Arabidopsis thaliana: one gene and its partners. The protein of the gene in region 4 interacts with the protein of the main gene of each other region in a pairwise test. Each region holds a gene or a part of one and is shown on either strand. Other genes may lie near its edges.

Region 1 (5,346 bases), 1.1 Mb from region 4:
TCCTCTGTATTCATATTAGCACAATCAAAGTCAAGACTACAAGAGCCATTGTCTATTGCTTTTATGATGATGTTTTGGTTCTAACATAAAAAGGGAGAGAGTTGTGTTCAAGTTAAAGTTGTTGATTCAATTGAAAGGAGGAAAAGCAAAATAAATAAATCCCAAATTTGGTAACTTTACTAATTTATAGGTAGTTGGGTTTAGATAGACTCCTATTGGGCCTGTTAAGGCCTTTAAACTATAGAAGCCGATAAAGACCCAGGAGTTAACTTGAGAGTCACGAAACCACTCAAATACACGTTCTTGTTTATCTTGTGTACGTAATTACTACATAAACCCATTATTTTGTACGTATAACGTATTGTATGAAAAAGCTAAAGAAAGTGAAATAAATCTAGGATCGAAATGTATATAATAAAGTTCACGGGTTGGTATTTATGTCAATGAAAACGAACTAAGCGAAGGACCCACTTTTTTTTGTATAACCAGTTTTGCCCTCTCATTTACTAAAACTAACCGTCATAACATCGATTCATGTGCTTCTTCTGTGTTGCATTTATATCCCAATTTGCTTCCACCAAATATCTTCCCTCTCTCGATTTTAAACTTCTTCTTCTCCAAGACCACTTCTCACTTTCTCTCTCTCGCTCTCTCTTGGAAACCAAAACAATGACGATGACTCACCTGAATCGTCTGATCTTGATCTCTCTTCTCTTCGTCTCTTTACTTCTCAAATCCTCCACCGCTTCTTCAACCGTCGTCGACGAAGGAAACAGAACATCAAGAAACTTCCGTTACCGAACGCACCGATTCGTTCCGAGGTTTAACCACCACCCTTACCACGTGACTCCTCACCGTTCGTGTGATTCCTTCATTCGTCCTTACGCGCGTTCTATGTGCATTGAGCTTCAGAGAATCCACCGTAGCAGTCGGAAGCAGCCACTTCTTTCTCCTCCTCCTCCGGAGATTGATCCAAGGTACGGCGTCGACAAAAGACTCGTCCCCTCTGGTCCAAACCCGCTTCACAACTAAAACCATATCCTCAAGTTTCTATACATACATATATACAGAAACATTTGTCACATATTTTCTAATTTAACTCGTTTCTCGGATTTGTTCGAGAGAGATTTGTGTACTTTATAGCTAGAGTTATTTTGGCCCAAGAAGATGGTTCGTTAGTTCTTCTTGGTCTTCTTTGCGGAAATTTCTTATTTCTACTTTCTTGATCTTGTAATGGAGTCTTGCGTTATGGTAATATTGTAACTAAGCTATTTCCACGCTTGTTTTTGGGCTTTGTAGTGTGAAAACAATCTTGGAAATAGTGTATTTTTGCAAGGGACTTTCTTTTGTTTTTCTAATGAGAAAATGATAAATTATAGTTTTGAAAGCGAAAGGAGAAAAAAAGATTTAGTATGGTTGGGAGAGGAGAGGTGAAGAAACGCATGAGCTCCATTAATTTGGGAGCTGTATTTATGTAACTCTAAAGTTTCCATTGGTCTATCAATAAAAATTTAAAAAGGTTGATGGGGCATATATATGTTATGTTCTTCTCTTTCGTGTGATATTTCGCTGTAAAGATATTTATTTCGCTTGTCTCTGTCAATAGACAATAGTAAAAACTTTGCAAATATAGAAACTTTTATTTATAATTTTGCCAACCAGATTTTCCTTTATCATTTTGCCAGCCAAATTTTTTATGTCTACTCATTTTTACAAATGTGGCACCGTCCACCATGTACGTGTTATCATCCGATTTAATCAACGGATTATAAGTTGTAGAAAATATTATTTATTACTCTTTATGAAAAGGAAAGTTATGAAAGAAAATGTATATATCTTAATGTTTATCGCCAAATTTATGGGATAAAAGTGTTTTAAGATGAGATGATGAATATAGTGCAAGCCTGGCAAAACAGAAAAGGAAACAAGAAGCAAAATTGGAGGGGAAAAAAATAATCTTTATAGAGTAAAATAGAAATAACTTGAATGCATTTTTGGTATAAGATGAATCAGAAAAAGTTATAATTTTTGTTTGTAACTTGTGAATTTCGAGTATTTTATCTAGTACATATCACTTTTTGGGTTTAGAGCCTTTCAAAATCTCTGGACCGGACCGGTCTACTCGCAACAAAATGATGGATTCAGCTAAAATGTGTCGGATCTACTAATCTTTTTTTTTTTTGTTGCTTAGTTAGCTAATTACTTTCTTGCATTCTTTATTTGGTTGCTTTTATCCAAAAACAGACTAAAATAATGCGTGTATAGCTTTCACTCTTAAGCAAAATCCGCCTAGACAATGGTCACGTCTTCACTCATTTCTCTACTATTCTCTTATGAAAAATGTCAATAAAAAATTTGCACACTGTATAATGTAATAATCTGAGTATCAAAAAATTTTTATTTTATATCTTTCATTCGCAACCCCAAAAAGAAAGTAAATCTGCTAACTTTAGATATTGAGGAAATTTCAAAGTCAGTTTTATTTGTTTCCTGTTTTTGTGTTCTCTTTGCCTTGATGGTAGGATCTGTAGTTAACAAGACTAGTGTTACATCTCCAAACTCTGATCGCTGGAAAAGTATCAAGCTTTCTGCTTGATTCTCTTTCTTAGCATCTGTCAAGCTTTCTTTGAAGATAAATTTGAGGTAAAAATCAAACTAATGGCTTCTCTCACTTTTTGTTTCTACTTCTTCTTATGATCTTTTGTCTTTGTTTTGATCAGATGGAGCAGTTCAAAGAGAGGAAGTTTGTTTGTAAGTTCTGTAGCAAGAGGTTTCCTTGTGGGAAATCACTTGGAGGTCACATCAGAACTCACATGAATGAGAATTCAGCTGATTCAGATGAAGATGAGGCTGATAAGCTCAAGATGATTGATGAAAATGGTGGTCAATCTAGTTATGGTCTGAGAGAGAATCCTAAAAAGAACAAGAGGTTTGTGGATCACAGACAGATTATGGCTCTGAAACAGCAGCAGCAGCAGCAACAACTTCAAGAGCTGCGTCGTTGCAGAGAATGTGGTAAAGGTTTTGTTTCTTCTAAAGCTCTTTGTGGTCACATGGCTTGTCACTCTGAGAGAGAGAAGATTGTTATGGATAGTCAATCTGATACTGAGGCTTCTTCCTCTCCTATCAGAAGAAGATCCAAGAGAGTTGTTGTGAAACCTCACCACAAAGCTGCTTTTGTAGTTGGTGGTAATGGTATTATGAATCAATCTATTTCAGCTTCTTCTGATGCTTCTGAGATTGAGCCTGAACAGGAGGAAATGGCAAGGTCTTTGATGATGCTTTCGAGGGATTCTAGTTTTAAGAAAGGACATAACTCTTTGGCTGAGTCATCTGACAACAACTCTGTGATTCTTGAGACTAAGTCATCTTCAGGTGAGCAGGTTAAGATGTTCAATGTGAAGAATGTTGAAGAGTTATGTAAGAAGAACAAACTTGTAGTTGATAACCAGATGAGGTCTGGTGAAGAAAATGGTGATGTTCATTATGATTCAGATAATTCTGACTCTGGCTACTTCAGGAATGGACCAAAGAAGTTGGACTCAGATGTTTCTGTTGATGGGTTCTTTAGGAACAAAACAATAATGGGATCTGGATCCGGATTCAACAGCTCCCCAACAAAACAAGATAGGGACATGAACAGATTCAGGAAGGAATGGTATAAGGAAGGAGGGTCAGGGTCAGGATCAGGATCAGGTCGTTCTTCTACAAAGTATGATCTGAGGAAAAGCAAAAGAGGTTTTCCTTCTCATGGTCGTAAGAAAATCAAGTATGAGTTCACTGAATCTGTCTATGACAGTGGTGAGCATAGCTTGGAAACTGACTCTTGTGCGGACACAAACAGAACTATCAAGATTCATAGTAAGTCTCCAATGGTTAAGAAAGCAAACGGTGCAAAGAAGAAAAGCAAAGGTCACGAGTGTCCGATTTGCTTCAGGGTGTTCAAATCAGGACAAGCTTTAGGAGGTCACAAGAGATCACATTTCATTGGGAATCAAGAACACAGGACTTTGGTGATTCAACATCAAGTAGCTCATGAGATGCATACACTCATCGATCTCAATCTTCCTGCTCCTATTGATGAATGATCTTACTAAAACCGAAACCGCGGTTTTCTTCTCTTTATTGTTTCCTTTCTGTTTATTGATTCTTTTGCTTCAGATTCAAGAATGCTTTTGGTTTGCAAGGCAAATCAAAGTCATCTTTTATTTGTTCATAATCATATAAAAGCTTGGTGCTTTTGTGGCAGAGTTCAATGATACTTCAACTGGAAATAGAATAGTAAAACAATTATGAGAAAGCAAAAGGACCCCATGTCACCTCTAAGAAGAAACTCTTGTCAAAAGTGTTCTTCTCTATTTTGGTCAATCTTTTTCTTTTTGAAACAAAAGTCAAATCATTTTTAAGCAAACTATAAGTGTTTTTTTCGCAACATATGTACCGACCCTGTGGTCTAATTTGGCGTAGATAACATGTGTAACACTCAACCAGTTAAATGTTATGACCTAATTAAAGATGACGTTTTAGAATCAAATTATCTTTAATGGACAATCGTTTTATACTTGGCTCTCAATTAAGAAGAAATCTATCTGTTTTATAACCAACCAGGCTATAATACAAAGCAAATCATGTTTTGGTCCATCTTACAGAAGATAAAAGATATACAAAACGAAAAGAGACATAAATCACCTCCCAAATAGGTGAAAACAATTAACAACATCAGTCTACTGTATAAAAAAAATAATTTGGTATAATCTCTCTGTTTTATACCCCCCTCTATAGAATTTCCAAGTTTGGTAAATTCCGATTATTTCCTGAAACTATTATGTTAAGATCACGGTTGGGGGATTACTACCTGCAGGAGGGCACCTTTGTCTCCTCGGTCTTCTTGTTGCTTGTCCCCATCCTGAGAGCTTACTGTCTTCAAGTCCTCCCACTGATACGCTCTCATTCATTGGCTGCGCCATTGACGGGCATAATGGAGCTTGGTTTATGTTAGTGACATTTCGTTTTCTTTTTGAGTTCCGTCGAACAGCCAATCCAGAACTCCAAGTGTAGTCTCCGGTTTTCATCAGTCCCCCAAACATTTGGATATCTTCAGTGACTTCATGCCTCGACAGAGAAGAGAGACCAGGTAGAGTATCCCTTTGGAAATCCCGCTTTGGTCTTCCTCGTCTTGCTTGTCCTCTTCTTGGCTTGTTAATACATGTATCTTCGAATTTCAGATTCTCTGGGACTAATGGCTCTGGCATGTAGTCTTCCTCCTTTGTCTCCTGTATATTCAGGGTCATGGCTTCAAAGTAATCAATCTCCCCAGAAGAATAGTCTTCCCTGTTACCTTCAAAG
Region 2 (5,170 bases), on a different chromosome or scaffold from region 4:
ATTGCCTCCACCTAAGCTCTATTTGCTCTCCCTAACTGGTTCTTCAAAATCTCGATGTTTGCTTATTGGTTGTGAAGCTGATTTTTATTCATGCCTATCGCATAATTTTTTTTTTCCAATTTTAGTTTTCAAATTTACTACACATTTATGATATACTTCAACATTTTGCCAATAACCTTTTGATAAGGTTTTTGTTTGAGTTTCAAGGTCAATTATAATAACTTAGGTTATTTCATTTGGTTGGAATCTTATTGGTTAAACATAAATTTAGACACTAAAATCTCTTTTGACCAAATTTCTAATATGTTCATGCATGTTTGTCTCTAAATATAGTTAACACTTCAGCAAACATTATTTGCTAAATAAAGAAAAAGGTTTCCACACACAGAAAAAAAAACTATTACATGTTGATGCTCTTGTTTCTCTGACAATTACTTTAGATTCAAACAAATGAGTCGTCTAATAATTTTCATATTAGTTAGTGCGATTTATTTTGTGGTAAATGATGCTTGCAAGAAAACTGAGATTGTGATTAAGAACAATTTCGGTTCTAGTAGAATTCTCCAATATCATTGCCGCTCAGAGAACCAAAATTTAGGAGTCCAATATTTAAACGCCAAAGGTACAAAAATCATTAAATTTAAGGATGACGGAAGTCGGAACCAAGCGATCGATTTGGAAATGTCTTTTTAGGCAAGAGATTAACATGAAGTTTTATAACGAGGTTGAAGCATATGTTCCAAAAGTTTTTAAACTATCCTACAATTCCAAATTATATTCAATGTGGTCAACTACGTGTGTATATTGCTAGAGTAGATCATATATATTTTCGAATGGATGGACGTGCGGCATTGCCTGTACGTTCTGGCGTTCATAATGTGCTTATGACCTCCTACATAAGCCATAAGAACTAACTCTTTAGTCAAATTGTTTTTTTTTCTTCTAATAAATAGCTCATTTGATATGTTTTTGTATTTTTCAATGTTTAAAATAATAAGAAAACATAATTTTCATATACTAATGTTTTTGTTTTTACGAGATGGTTCTATATCTATTTGTTTGAATTACTTGTTATCTATCAGAGAACTTTTCTATAGAGAATTAAGAGCAGAAGTCAGGAGAAGATAGTATGAGTCACAATAATAAAAAGTTGACTCAAAAGAACCATTGGCTAACCAAGTAGCTTGCTCGGGCACCGAATATATCACAAAGATGGTCAAGCACATGAGAACCGTAGAGGACGTGAAGCGTCCATATATGAATTTGGTTCCATATGATGTAAAGAATTATCCATGTGTTCTAGAGAACTTCAGAGTTTTAAATCATGATACACAAAAGTGATTTGATCTCAAAAATTGAACTAGTTATGTTAGGAAAAGTGTGGTACGGATTTCTTAAAAGATTCTTAAAACTCAAAACATTTTTCCGTACCTCCTCGATAGCCAGTTTAACCGTTTCTGCTGGCCATCTCCTCAGCCATTAAAAAGGTGTCACATAACCTTTTTTTTTTTTGTGTCAAGAAGGTGTCACATAACCATTTGGTCTTAATGGCGAGTCTCTAATTTGTCTCTTACTATGAGTGATGCTATTTGTTTTTTACGACTATGCTTTATATATGTTACTATTTTCTTGATGAATAATAATTATCTTTGTATATGAGTCTGGTTGTATCTTTTGCACAACTTATCACATTTTGTCTGAATCTTGCTCTTCTTCTTCTGGTTGATGTGGCATGCTGGCATTGATCTTCGTATCCTCATGTTCTATCCTACTCTTTGGTTCTGCATATCCAAAGAGTCCAGCAAAAGGTTATCAAACAAAATACACTACAGTTTGTTGTTAGTAAAACCTTACTTTTGTTCGTAATTGTTCGGCGTGTGCAATTCAAGAACTCTTCCCAGCTTTGCTGTTTGAGTTCTCGTATAACTTCTTCCGAGAGCTCAAAGTTCGGTTCCCTCCCACACATGAAAGCAGCCCTAATAGAGGTGATAATTGTCAATGGTAATGAATTACTTGAATTGCAAAAAAAAAACCCGAAAGAGTTTTACCTATCGTATAAGCGAGCAGCCTCTTCTTGAGAAGAGAAAGTGCCTAAGTGGATTTGTTTCTTCTCGACTTTAATGGCGGCTTGCCATTTCATGTTTTTGTAGTAGACTCCTCTCATCAAACATGGTTCTTGGTTATGTACTCGCTTTCTTCTATGCTGCTTTCTTCGTTTCGGCGGCTGGTCTATAAATGGGAGATAATATAATATAATTCTCACTCGTCTCAATCAATTAGTAAGCAAATGAGAAATTGGTCCTCTCTCACATATGTTCTACTACTCACATTTTGGTGAGATGGAATCAGAATTAACCGGTGAGATATCTGAATAATCAGACCTGAAATGCATATGTTTTGACCGAGTTCTTCGGCTTCTTTCTTCAATAGCCTTTTTCTGCAAACCAAAAGAATGAAGGCTCAATTGTTAGAATGACTAAAGCCGTATAAATAAGAAACACTAAAGCGAAATGTATCACATAAGTAACACTACATATCACATAAGTAACACTACATATTACATATTGCACTAGCCCTTAGACATTTGTTAGAGTAACCTCGATAAACAATTAGCAAAACCATATAAATCAAAACATTTTTCCGTACCTCCACGATAACCGTTGTAACCGTTTCTGCTGGCCCGGGATTATAAGCTGCTCTGGCATTAGGATTTGGAATCCCAGTGATCATCTCCTCAGCAGTTAAAAATGGAAGTGGTGTCACATAACCATTTGGTCCTAGAGAAATAAAACTAATTCATCATTATGCCTAATATTGGACTATATAGTAGCATTTAGTCAAGAACATTGTTTACCACAACAAAGACCCAATAGCCTACGTCTTCGTAAGCTCACCATATCGACTTCTGAATGTTTTACTTTTCTCCTATAGACCACAAACAAAGCACTACTCACTTCAAGAAACAACTCACAGAAAACAGAAAATGTCTAAATTAAGTAAGATTACACAAAATATAGCCTCATTAACCATATGTTTAGTGTTTTGAGACCATAAAGTGTAAAAGTTAACACGTAGATCCGACAAGAACAGCTACTTTAGTTTCTCCAAAAGTCAAATTAAACAGCTCATCAAACCCATCAAAGTACGTGAAGATATGAATCTGTACTCGATGAAAAGGGAAATTGGTAACTAATCAAGGAAGACTTTTTAACCAAATCAAGTCAACTCCTCAATAAGAACAAAACCTACCACCGCCACCTTTTTCATGGATTCTCATAAACCTAAGCTAAATCTAAAAACCAGAGTCAACAGAAGATGGGTTCATGGATTTGATCCAATCAAGAAGAGGAAAGAAAAAACAAGAAGCCAAATATGAGAATGGATTAGTCTTCTCCAGAGAAACAAAATCAGCAACGACAAAAACTAAACATACCCATTGCACACAAACTCAATAGAAACCAATCCATTGCATCAAAATCAAAGCTTTAGGGGATATTAAAAAAAACAGAGACCGGTTAAAGAGTTAAACCGGAAAATCTGAGCAATTAAGGAAACGATTGAGGTACCTCTAAGAAGGTGGTAAGTGACAACAAGGTCTCATATAGTTCTGGATTTTGTTAATGAACAGAAGAGAGAGAGAGAGAAAGATAAAGAGAGACGAGTTTAATTGTGTTGAAGTTGTGGTGGTGTTAGAGGTTCATGCATCTACCACCTTTGGCCCTCTATTTATTTGGTTGGTAAACGCTGAGAAGACCAGAAGGAAAATTAAATATTTTGACAAAACTATTTAAAACAATGTGTTGAAAATATATTTATTAATAAGTAAAAACAGATAAATGCTAGAAAAAAACGAAAATAATAGAATAATAATTGACAACGATAATGGTGGAACAAAAAATCTCATGATTATATATAACAATAGATTATACTTGTCCAACATGCGAGTTTTTTTTTTAATTGTATATTAAATTTAGAAAAACATAAACTAAACATTTCTCATCATAAATTGTTATTTAGAAAAAGTATTAATTAGTTATAGTTAAAAAAATATTTACATACATCTTATGAAAGTGTAAAAAATAAATATTAAAGAGAAAATTGTTTTATTTAATCAAGTTTTTGGAACACAAATAACACCCAAAAAGTTTTACACATAAATATATTTGGAACACAAATAACACCCAAATAGTATTTAAATGATATTTTGAGGGTTAAAAATGTAAATTTTCCTATATTTAATTGGTCTGGTTCTTGTTTTTTCACATTCGTTAAGAAGTTCTTTTTATCATACACTAAATTATACAACCATATCATATTTAGTGTGAAACCCTAACAAGATTAAAAAAATAAAGACATTTCAAATATTAAATCAAATAAATATCTTGTCCATGCTATGTCCATATGATCATAAGAAGTTGTTTTAAATATATATCAACAATATCTTGTCCACGCTATATCCATACAAAGTAGTTTTTATCATACACTAAATTATAATCATATCATATTTAGTGTGATGCCCTAACGAAGATCATAAGCAAGAACAAAAAGCTAAAGACATTTGAAAAACACTAAAAATGAAGTATATGAGAAGAAATGTCTATAAAAGAAAATGTATATAAATTTTTACCAAAAACAAAAAAAAATGTATAAATTCTCTCTTAGTGAACGAAAAACCCGTGTAAAATCTCTAGTAGGCTATGTTTAGAACTTTGATAGACCTATAATACAGCTCTTCTTTTCATGGAAGAGTAGTTAATTTGTCTTTATAAAAGGAGTTAAGAAGAGTAACTAATTAAGAGAGAGATATCAATGTTAATCTAAAGTTTTCATCCTTTAGAGTTTCACGAGATATTTTTCTACACTAAATTATAACAACATCATAGTGGGTTGAAAAAGCTTTAAAAAGATCAGCAAAGAAAAACAGAAGGAAATATCTAAAAAGAAAAGATCATCCCACAAACAAATATTTTATAAAAGCTAAAGACAAATCTTTCTATGCATTGTCATGTGTTTTGGTAACAAATTCATTCGGGTGAATTTTTTTTTGATGCATGTATGTATGAGAAAGAGGTAAACTTAATTAGAAAGATAAAAGCTAGGAAATTTTCAAATTGTCAACCTTCTAATAAAAAAGTTGTCTAATGATTTCGGACTTGGGGGATTACGGGAT
Region 3 (3,955 bases), on a different chromosome or scaffold from region 4:
CAATGTAGACTTTTCCAGTGTTGTTGACGAACCTTAAGATAGACAAACTTTGCATTGACACACAAAGCAAGATTACTTGGAAGAATCCATGGAGTAGTAGTCCATGCCACAAGAGCCGTATTATCTTGGATCTCCGATAACAGGGAATGTAACCATTACTAAATATGCAACACAATATGCAACAATAAATATGCAAAAAAAATATATATATTTAACACAAAAAAAAAAAAAAAAATGCAACAACAGAATGTTATAATCTTCATTAGCAACAAGGCCAACAACAACATACCTTATAGTTCTGACCAGCTTCAAAATTAGATAGTGGTGTTTTACAACCAGTACTATAAGGCATAACCTTGAAGCATCTATAGACAAGATTCTTATAAAAAAATCAGCCTACTACACCCAATTAAAATCTTTAATTTGAGTTATATATTTTAACACCGTCATTTCAATTTTTCCATGATTTTTAAGCCCAGCAAATCATAATCTGGCTCTTGAAATTTACGAACCCAAAAATCAAACCTCCAAATGATATTGGGCCTTTTAACTGGTCATACTTTGATCGCTACTTCTACTTCTAAACTTCAACTTTCAGTTCATAAAACCCAGATTTGACTTTCATTTACTCTCCTTTATTTTTTATGCATGTAATATACTATCACATTTTTATAATCATAATTTGTTTTACAACATCAAGGCTATGATTGATTCATATGAGCTCACATGGGTCTGCAAAAATGTAGTTTCTAAATTTGGAAGGCTTTTCAAATGGTGTAAATTATAAACTTCACCAACCTATTATTAAAACGCATATAATGTTTATCCCATTGCAGTTCGAATTCATTCATAATATAAGTTTAAACTTACTTTATAATGTAAATTCATACAAACCCACTTGAAATGTAAATTCATGTAAAATATTATACAAGAGAATGATAGATAGTCTTTGATTATACAAACCCAAATTTCATACAACGTAACTAATTATTAGAACATATTACGCAAAACTACTTGATCTATAGATCTACACTAATATATAGTTATGGAAAAGAACAATAATCCTGTACTATACAAACCCAACTTCAGACAACAAGAACATTTTTTTTTCTTTTTGAAAAAGGTATAACAAAAACATTACTCAAATTAACCTATTTGATCTATAATTTTTAAGTGAAAAATATAGTCTTGAATTATACAAACCCAAACTTCATACGATCATGATAAAAACATGACTCCAAGTCCAACATATTTTGATCATACTACATATATATTGAAAACATATATAAACACCACAATAAACATCATGCACTATACGGTGATTAACTTTCAACTATATATATATATTGTATATGGTTACGTGGATCGAACGTGAGGGAAACCGCTGCAAGCTTAATGATGACGATGACCGCCGAGTCGAAGATCAAGATCAAGATCACCATCTTGAGGTTGAGAACCTCCGGTCTCTGGTGGGCTCCGGTGAGTGTCATCATCTTCATTCATGGATCCGAGCCCTAAGCTCAAATTAAGATCATGAGACGCCCCTTGAGCAAATCTCCCTCCTCCTCTTGATGATGATGATGATCCAAAGTATTGTGTGTTGTGGCTAGGGTTAATAGGTGGCTGAGACCCTTGGTGTAGGTATGACTCAATGGTCGGAAAATAAGGAGGAGGGTTTGTGAAGTTTGTGGAGGAGGAGGGAGACTGAGATGGTAACGGAAGAGAAAATGGAAATGAGTGAGAAGAAGAAGAGGAGGAGGGGTATCTTTCGCGTTCCCTGCGGTGGATGTTATTGTGACCACCGAGGGCTTGAGGATTCGTGAAACCTCTCTTGCAGATGTCGCAGTCATAAGTCCGGCGGTTTTCTCCAGAGCCAGAGCCGGAATCAATTTGTTTGTCCCGGTGGTTCATCTCTCTCTTCTTCTTCTGTTGGGATCTCTCTCAAGTCTCAGTATTCAATGTTTTGAAAATGAGTGTATGAAGCTTCTTAAAAACACACACCAGCGTATATATAAGCTAAAGGAAAGATTATGTGTGTGAACGGACACTAATTAGGGCTAAATTGTTTTATCAATGGTTAATATATATACTTTAGGGTCTTTAATGTACTTAATTACGGGGGTGTGTATTATAATTAAATTCGTGCGTCTAATGTAACATGAATTAATAACTACAAAAACGTCATGCTTAGAATTATTTTAATTAGTTTATTTTCTAACAATTTTCAGGGAAAGTTTAACAAAGGATAATATAATAGATAAAGTTGAAAAATATTCTTCATAGGAAAACAAACTACAGAAGGTGTTATTTATAAGGTTTCGAGTGACTAGTTAGGGTAGCTAGTTTCTCTCTATTCAATTTCATTTTTGTTCAAGAAAAATATAAAGTTGTTCATCTTTGAATATAGTACAAAAAAGTACTTATTTGTTTGGATCGAGAGTAAAAATTGCAAAGTAAAATTGTAAAAATTGGAAGGCTAGTAGGAGCTAGTGAAATATTAAAGCTTAGTTAAATTTAATCTAATATAGTGTGAAATATATTTTGAATGTGAACATGTAATACCTACAAAATAATAAAACCAAATTTTTTAAAAGAAGCATTCACTAAGGAGTTGTGGACTTGTGGTTGTGCTTAAAGTAGGTAAAACAATTAAGAATATACAAATTGCTCTCATTAATTAAATAGCATTTATGAAATTTATTATGAGTTCTCCCCAAAACTGAAATTGATTTCGATGGTTTCTATACTTAGAAAAATATGCTTTAACAAAAACAAAATAAAACTTAGAAAAAAATACGATCGATGAGCGATCGCCTGCTACTCTTAGGATTGCTAAAATTAATATTTTACTGTATTCAATTTCAGAACCGACAAAATAATATTCACCTCCATAAACTTACTTCGTTCACACCGGTACCCTTTAACTTCTATGGACCGATTGAAACCGCGTTTTATAAGTTCGGTTTTAGCTATTGCCATATCGTTTTTTAGGATATAATAGAACGTTTAACGAATCACGATGGATCAAAACTCTCTATATATGCAATGGAAAATAATTATAGCCTCAAGAAAAATGATATTATGGAAGTTGAATAGATTTGTTATTATGTAGGCTGACTTCCTTTTGGCGTAGTCTCTTTTTAGTGAGATCATGCAGATAATATATAGTAAAACAAGTATACCATTATGTTTTATGGATTTAGATAAAGAACTATTGTCATTCGTTTTCTATAAGCTGATCAGGAGCATTAATGTTTTATAGGATTTCGAGAACATGTGAGAATCCTACTGACTTAAGAATATTCACTAGTGAATTTATAACAGACGAAAAAGAACTTTGGGACTACAGCTCATCGTAGACTTTAGCCTCCTAAAGCTACATTTATTTCTTTCATCAATAACATTTGTTTCATAAAACCCGCACGAACAAATATTCTAAATTGGCATGTGGATAAGAAACAAACTCGGTCAAGGTAAGGTCTATATAATTAAGCTTGATAAAAGAATCATACGGAAAAAATATCCACCAACAGTTTCAATATTTATATGTGTGTTTGGACTTGCGGGTGATATACAACATTAATAGTAATAAACTGAAAGAATAGTGTATGCATATATAGAAATGCTCTATGTAGTGTTGGAGACACTACAAAAAAAAGGTTGTTTTACATCATTTATTATAAATATTTGCATTAGTTAAAAGTGATGTAAAAGAATTTTGTATCATTTAAATAAGTGACTTAAATATTGTTGATGCAAATAATTTGCATCGGTTAATTAGTAACCGATGTAAATAATCAAAATAATTACATCGATTATTGTAATTGATATCAATATTGTATCAGTTACTAAAAATGATGTAATGTTTACATCAATTTATTTAAGTGATGTTAGTATTTGTTTCGGTTTAAATAATTGATTTAAATAATATATATATAATTATTAATATAATGTT
Region 4 (3,978 bases):
ACTGTTCCACTTTTTTCCTACTTCATCGTTTGCAACAACGTGTATCTTCCAAGAATTATTTCTGATTTGCCTTCTCGTTTATATCTTTCTACTCAGCGATGGATCTTATAGAGCATCTTCGTGCGATGGGTGAAACCAATGCTCTTCTCGAGAGAAACAAGATTTTGAATCGTGAAACTGCTGTTGCCACGGCAGCCATATATGACTCCATGTTTGCCACAGAGGACGGCACTATACCCGCTACTTTTCAGGTCTGTCCATAATAGTTCAGAACTAACTCAACAGTGAAAAAAACCCATAACCTAGCTTCATTATTCAAGTTGTTTTGCTACAATCCATGATTAAAACAATTTTATGCTAAATACTACAAGTGAAATTAACAACATTTGAGGCCTAAAGTATATATCGTTTGGCATTCTTGTGTAGGTGATTTACATGACAGGATGGAGAGAACATTCGTCTCACCCGCAGGCCAAACGAAGAGGTTCAGCCACCGTATCCTTCACGGATCTCCAAAAGCAATTTGGCGGACAATCTTGATGGAATGATTGAAGAAGAGAAACATTCAATAAGCAGAGACTTTACAAATGACACTTGAGAGAGAAATCAGTGACTTAAGCTATAAGGTACTTGGAGGAACTCTTGTAGATTTGTCGGAGTCTTTCACTGGGCGAAAGCATCACAATTAGGACGCCTGCTTTCGCCCATGTATTTCGTATCGAATAATAGCTGATCAGAAACATATTTGTATTTTACAAAAATATTACGAATACTTAAAAATCTCAATCTTCAATCACGAAACATGATCTCGCGCTAGGTTTCTTGAATAGATTTGTATACAATGGACCAAACTTCACTAAATCAGTGAAACAAACATTAATCAAAACCTTATAATGTATATTCACAACCATTTGATTGTTTCTCTGTGGTACCTAATCTTGTTTTGAGTAAGATTTTAGCACCACACCTGTTTTGATTATGGTACAAAATCTTACTCAAAAGAAGATCAAACGTGATCATGACCGTCGAGATAAATCAAACGTGATCGTGGCCGCCCAGATAATCATACACTGAAATATTCAACGGCTCCACTTGATCAGCTCCATTCTCGTAATACGTCGTCGTATCTCCGCATCCAGAGTTCACGCTGGTACTGTGGACGATTCCGGCGTCAATGGCCATGCCGGCGTTAGAAGCAGCTTGCTGGATAGATCTCGGAGAAGTTCTGGAAACGAGTGAAGGATTAAGCAAATGAGGGAAATTGAGAGATTCTAAAGAATCAGGTTGGTGTAAACAGAAGAAAGCAACGTCGTGTGCTACGGCGGCACCTTCTGCTGTTGAGAATGAACCTAACCAGAGACGGTCACGAGTTCCCGGAACTCTAATCTCTGATACCCATTTGCCCCATTTCCGACGACGGATTCCTTTGTACTTTGACTGACTTTCACCGGTGGATTCTCTGTAATCCATTTTTTGTTGTTGTATGATGATCGATGTGAAGAAGAAGAAGAAGAAGAAGAGACTTTTGAGTGTTGTTTATGTTTGAATATGAAGATACAAAGACTATTTATACGTTGAAGTTTAGTGAAAGTCAAAATATTATATAATATTTTTTAATATGAATCAAGAATGAGAATGAAGTTGACCAATTATAAAACTAGTTAATTCTCGAGGAAAAAATCAACTGGTCAAAGTATGACCCATTTTTTTAGTGGTACCAATTTGACATGTGCCTGACTAGTCGATTTTTTTTTCTTTCAAGTTGTAACTTTTTTTTTTGCTGTGTCTAACAGTAAATTCAATGTATTTAGAAAGTAAGAGTCATTTCTATAAAACAAGTGGTATATATACCGTTCTGTTTGGTTTCAAAATAAATGATATTTTTTGTTTTTTTAAAATAGAAAATTAATCTTTATTTTTTGTTGTTGTTGCTTTGGTATATCATAGTTAGGTTACCTTAATTTATAGGTTTTTCATTTTTTTTTATATGAAAAAGTCTTAAGTCGAAATCTAGAATTTTATACTACTATATATCCTCTATTTCGTTTCATAAAAATCTGTAAAATAGGTGATGACATAATAGTATAGAGAAAAGCAGTGAAAAACACAAAAGTCGATTCAAACTCCACCGATGAAGAATGTGAAAACGTCGTCGTCGATGGTTAAACCACGTGGGATAAAGAAAGACTTTCTTTGCCTTTTTTGGTTACAAATTGCGTCATGCGTGACATGAGCACCGTCTAAAGGGGGTCCTTTATTTTTGGCATTTGACCAAAGATCTGTAATGACTTAATGATTCTCCACGGACAACACACAGACACAACAGCCCAAACTAACTGGAAAAAGTTATTTTTTGTCTTCTTCTGTGTCTGCTGACTCATGTACATGGTTGTCAAATTTTAGTTCACACACAACCACATCCAAAACACGAATCATCCACGGAGAAACCCAGTCTCATAATGTATTTAATGTGTTTTCATCCTTCGGATGCATAACCAATTCTTTGTAGTTGATACTTGATTAGGTTTTTCTCGACACTGACATTTGGGAGTTGATTGTGATGTGATACACCGTCTTATCATAGTCACCGACTCATTTAGAAGAAACCTCAAAGGTAACTTGGTAAGTTACGATTAGAGATGTTTTTAGAAACGTCTAGCAGATTATTGATATCTGACAATAAATATTCACACCTACTCGGTTGGTCTATGCGATTTTAGACAATTTAAATGTTTATAAAAACCCTAGTGTATCAGTATATATAAAATCAATATTAATGAAATAATGCAATTAATAAATTACTTATTATAAGTTCTTATAAAAAAAATACTAGTGACCTCATTTTGTAATATCAAAAACTGGTGCCAACTTCATCTAACACGATTTATTTAACCTTGGTAATATTTTGAAAAAACCATAAATTTATAAAGTTGTTACAGTCAGATTTTAGTGGGCTAAAATGGGTTACAATTGCAATGGGTCTGGAAGTGGACAAATCTAAACAAGCGGCCCAAATCATCTGAGCACATGCCAGAACATTGAATAAATGTCAAAAAGGAGTCTCTTTCTACATAACCTTCACGCGCGGCTACTCCTACTTTCGCTTCGTCCGGTTCCGTCGATACTGTCTCCGAATCACTGTCTTCTTTCCTTTTTCTTCCTACATGACATCTGTCTTATCTCTTTTATGTTTCTCTAGATGTACTTATACTTCCATGTTTCGTCTGTATACGGTATGTTTCGCTCACCACATGTTCGATGAAATTCCTCAACGAAACTTTTTTTTTATCTTTCTCACCTTTCTTCCTTTGACTTTCAGACGGAGAAGCAAAATTGCTTGAACTTTCGCTTTGATGGATCAAACTAGTCTTGGAACAATAATCAAAATCCATTCGTTGCCATCATATGCAGCTTACTGTATATGCCGTCTTCTCCTTCTCGCTCTATACTCAGAGGTCTCACTGTATCCGAAATTTGCAAGTTTATTCCTCAATCGTGGAAACAGCTGCCGAGACCCATCTCAGAAACTTCCAAAACCCATGATGATGAATCAGTTCCACAAGTGCTTTTCAATTCATTTAGACATTGCATTTCCCATGGTCAATTATATGAAGCTTTCAGAACTTTCTCTCTACTTCGCTACCAGTCTGGTTCTCATGAATTCGTTTTGTATTCATCAGCTTCTCTTCTATCTACATGTGTGGGTTTTAATGAGTTTGTTCCTGGCCAGCAACTTCATGCTCATTGTATCTCGTCGGGTTTGGAGTTTGACTCTGTTTTGGTCCCAAAGTTGGTCACTTTCTACTCTGCTTTTAATCTCCTTGACGAAGCTCAGACCATTACTGAGAACTCTGAGATTTTGCATCCCTTGCCGTGGAATGTGCTCATCGGTTCGTATATTAGGAACAAAAGGTTTCAGGAGTCTGTTTCTGTTTACAAGCGAATGATGAGTAAAGGAATTAGAGCGGATGAATTTAC

What was found.
Region 1: the proteins of AT1G22810 (region 4) and AT1G26610 interact in a two-hybrid assay, tested with the Arabidopsis thaliana proteins (one large-scale study listed by BioGRID).
Region 2: the proteins of AT1G22810 (region 4) and AT4G13040 interact in a two-hybrid assay, tested with the Arabidopsis thaliana proteins (one large-scale study listed by BioGRID).
Region 3: the proteins of AT1G22810 (region 4) and URO interact in a two-hybrid assay, tested with the Arabidopsis thaliana proteins (one large-scale study listed by BioGRID).

Annotation. Positions count from the first base shown.
Region 1 is NC_003070.9:9,191,015-9,196,360, forward strand, and holds AT1G26610 (C2H2-like zinc finger protein), read left to right. Parts: upstream 1-2,312; 5' UTR 2,313-2,643; intron 2,644-2,720; coding exon 2,721-4,088; 3' UTR 4,089-4,368; downstream 4,369-5,346. Other genes in the region: CLE9 (CLAVATA3/ESR-RELATED 9), read left to right, coding at 535-1,032; AT1G26620 (T-box transcription factor, putative (DUF863)), read right to left, coding at 4,824-5,346.
Region 2 is NC_003075.7:7,611,827-7,616,996, reverse strand, and holds AT4G13040 (Integrase-type DNA-binding superfamily protein), read right to left. Parts: upstream 3,278-5,170; coding exon 3,246-3,277; intron 2,926-3,245; coding exon 2,855-2,925; exon of another isoform or gene 2,778-2,854; coding exon 2,647-2,777; intron 2,438-2,646; coding exon 2,329-2,437; intron 2,230-2,328; coding exon 2,049-2,229; intron 1,977-2,048; coding exon 1,855-1,976; coding exon of another isoform or gene 1,782-1,854; coding exon 1,687-1,781; 3' UTR 1,042-1,686; downstream 1-1,041.
Region 3 is NC_003074.8:8,248,535-8,252,489, reverse strand, and holds URO (C2H2 and C2HC zinc fingers superfamily protein), read right to left. Parts: upstream 1,972-3,955; 5' UTR 1,912-1,971; coding exon 1,393-1,911; 3' UTR 1,007-1,392; downstream 1-1,006. Other genes in the region: AT3G23145 (ATP binding / aminoacyl-tRNA ligase/ nucleotide binding protein), read right to left, coding at 33-131, 290-352.
Region 4 is NC_003070.9:8,073,500-8,077,477, forward strand, and holds AT1G22810 (Integrase-type DNA-binding superfamily protein), read right to left. Parts: upstream 1,539-3,978; 5' UTR 1,471-1,538; coding exon 1,036-1,470; 3' UTR 732-1,035; downstream 1-731. Other genes in the region: AT1G22800 (S-adenosyl-L-methionine-dependent methyltransferases superfamily protein), read left to right, coding at 97-251, 427-540; AT1G22830 (Tetratricopeptide repeat (TPR)-like superfamily protein), read left to right, coding at 3,422-3,978.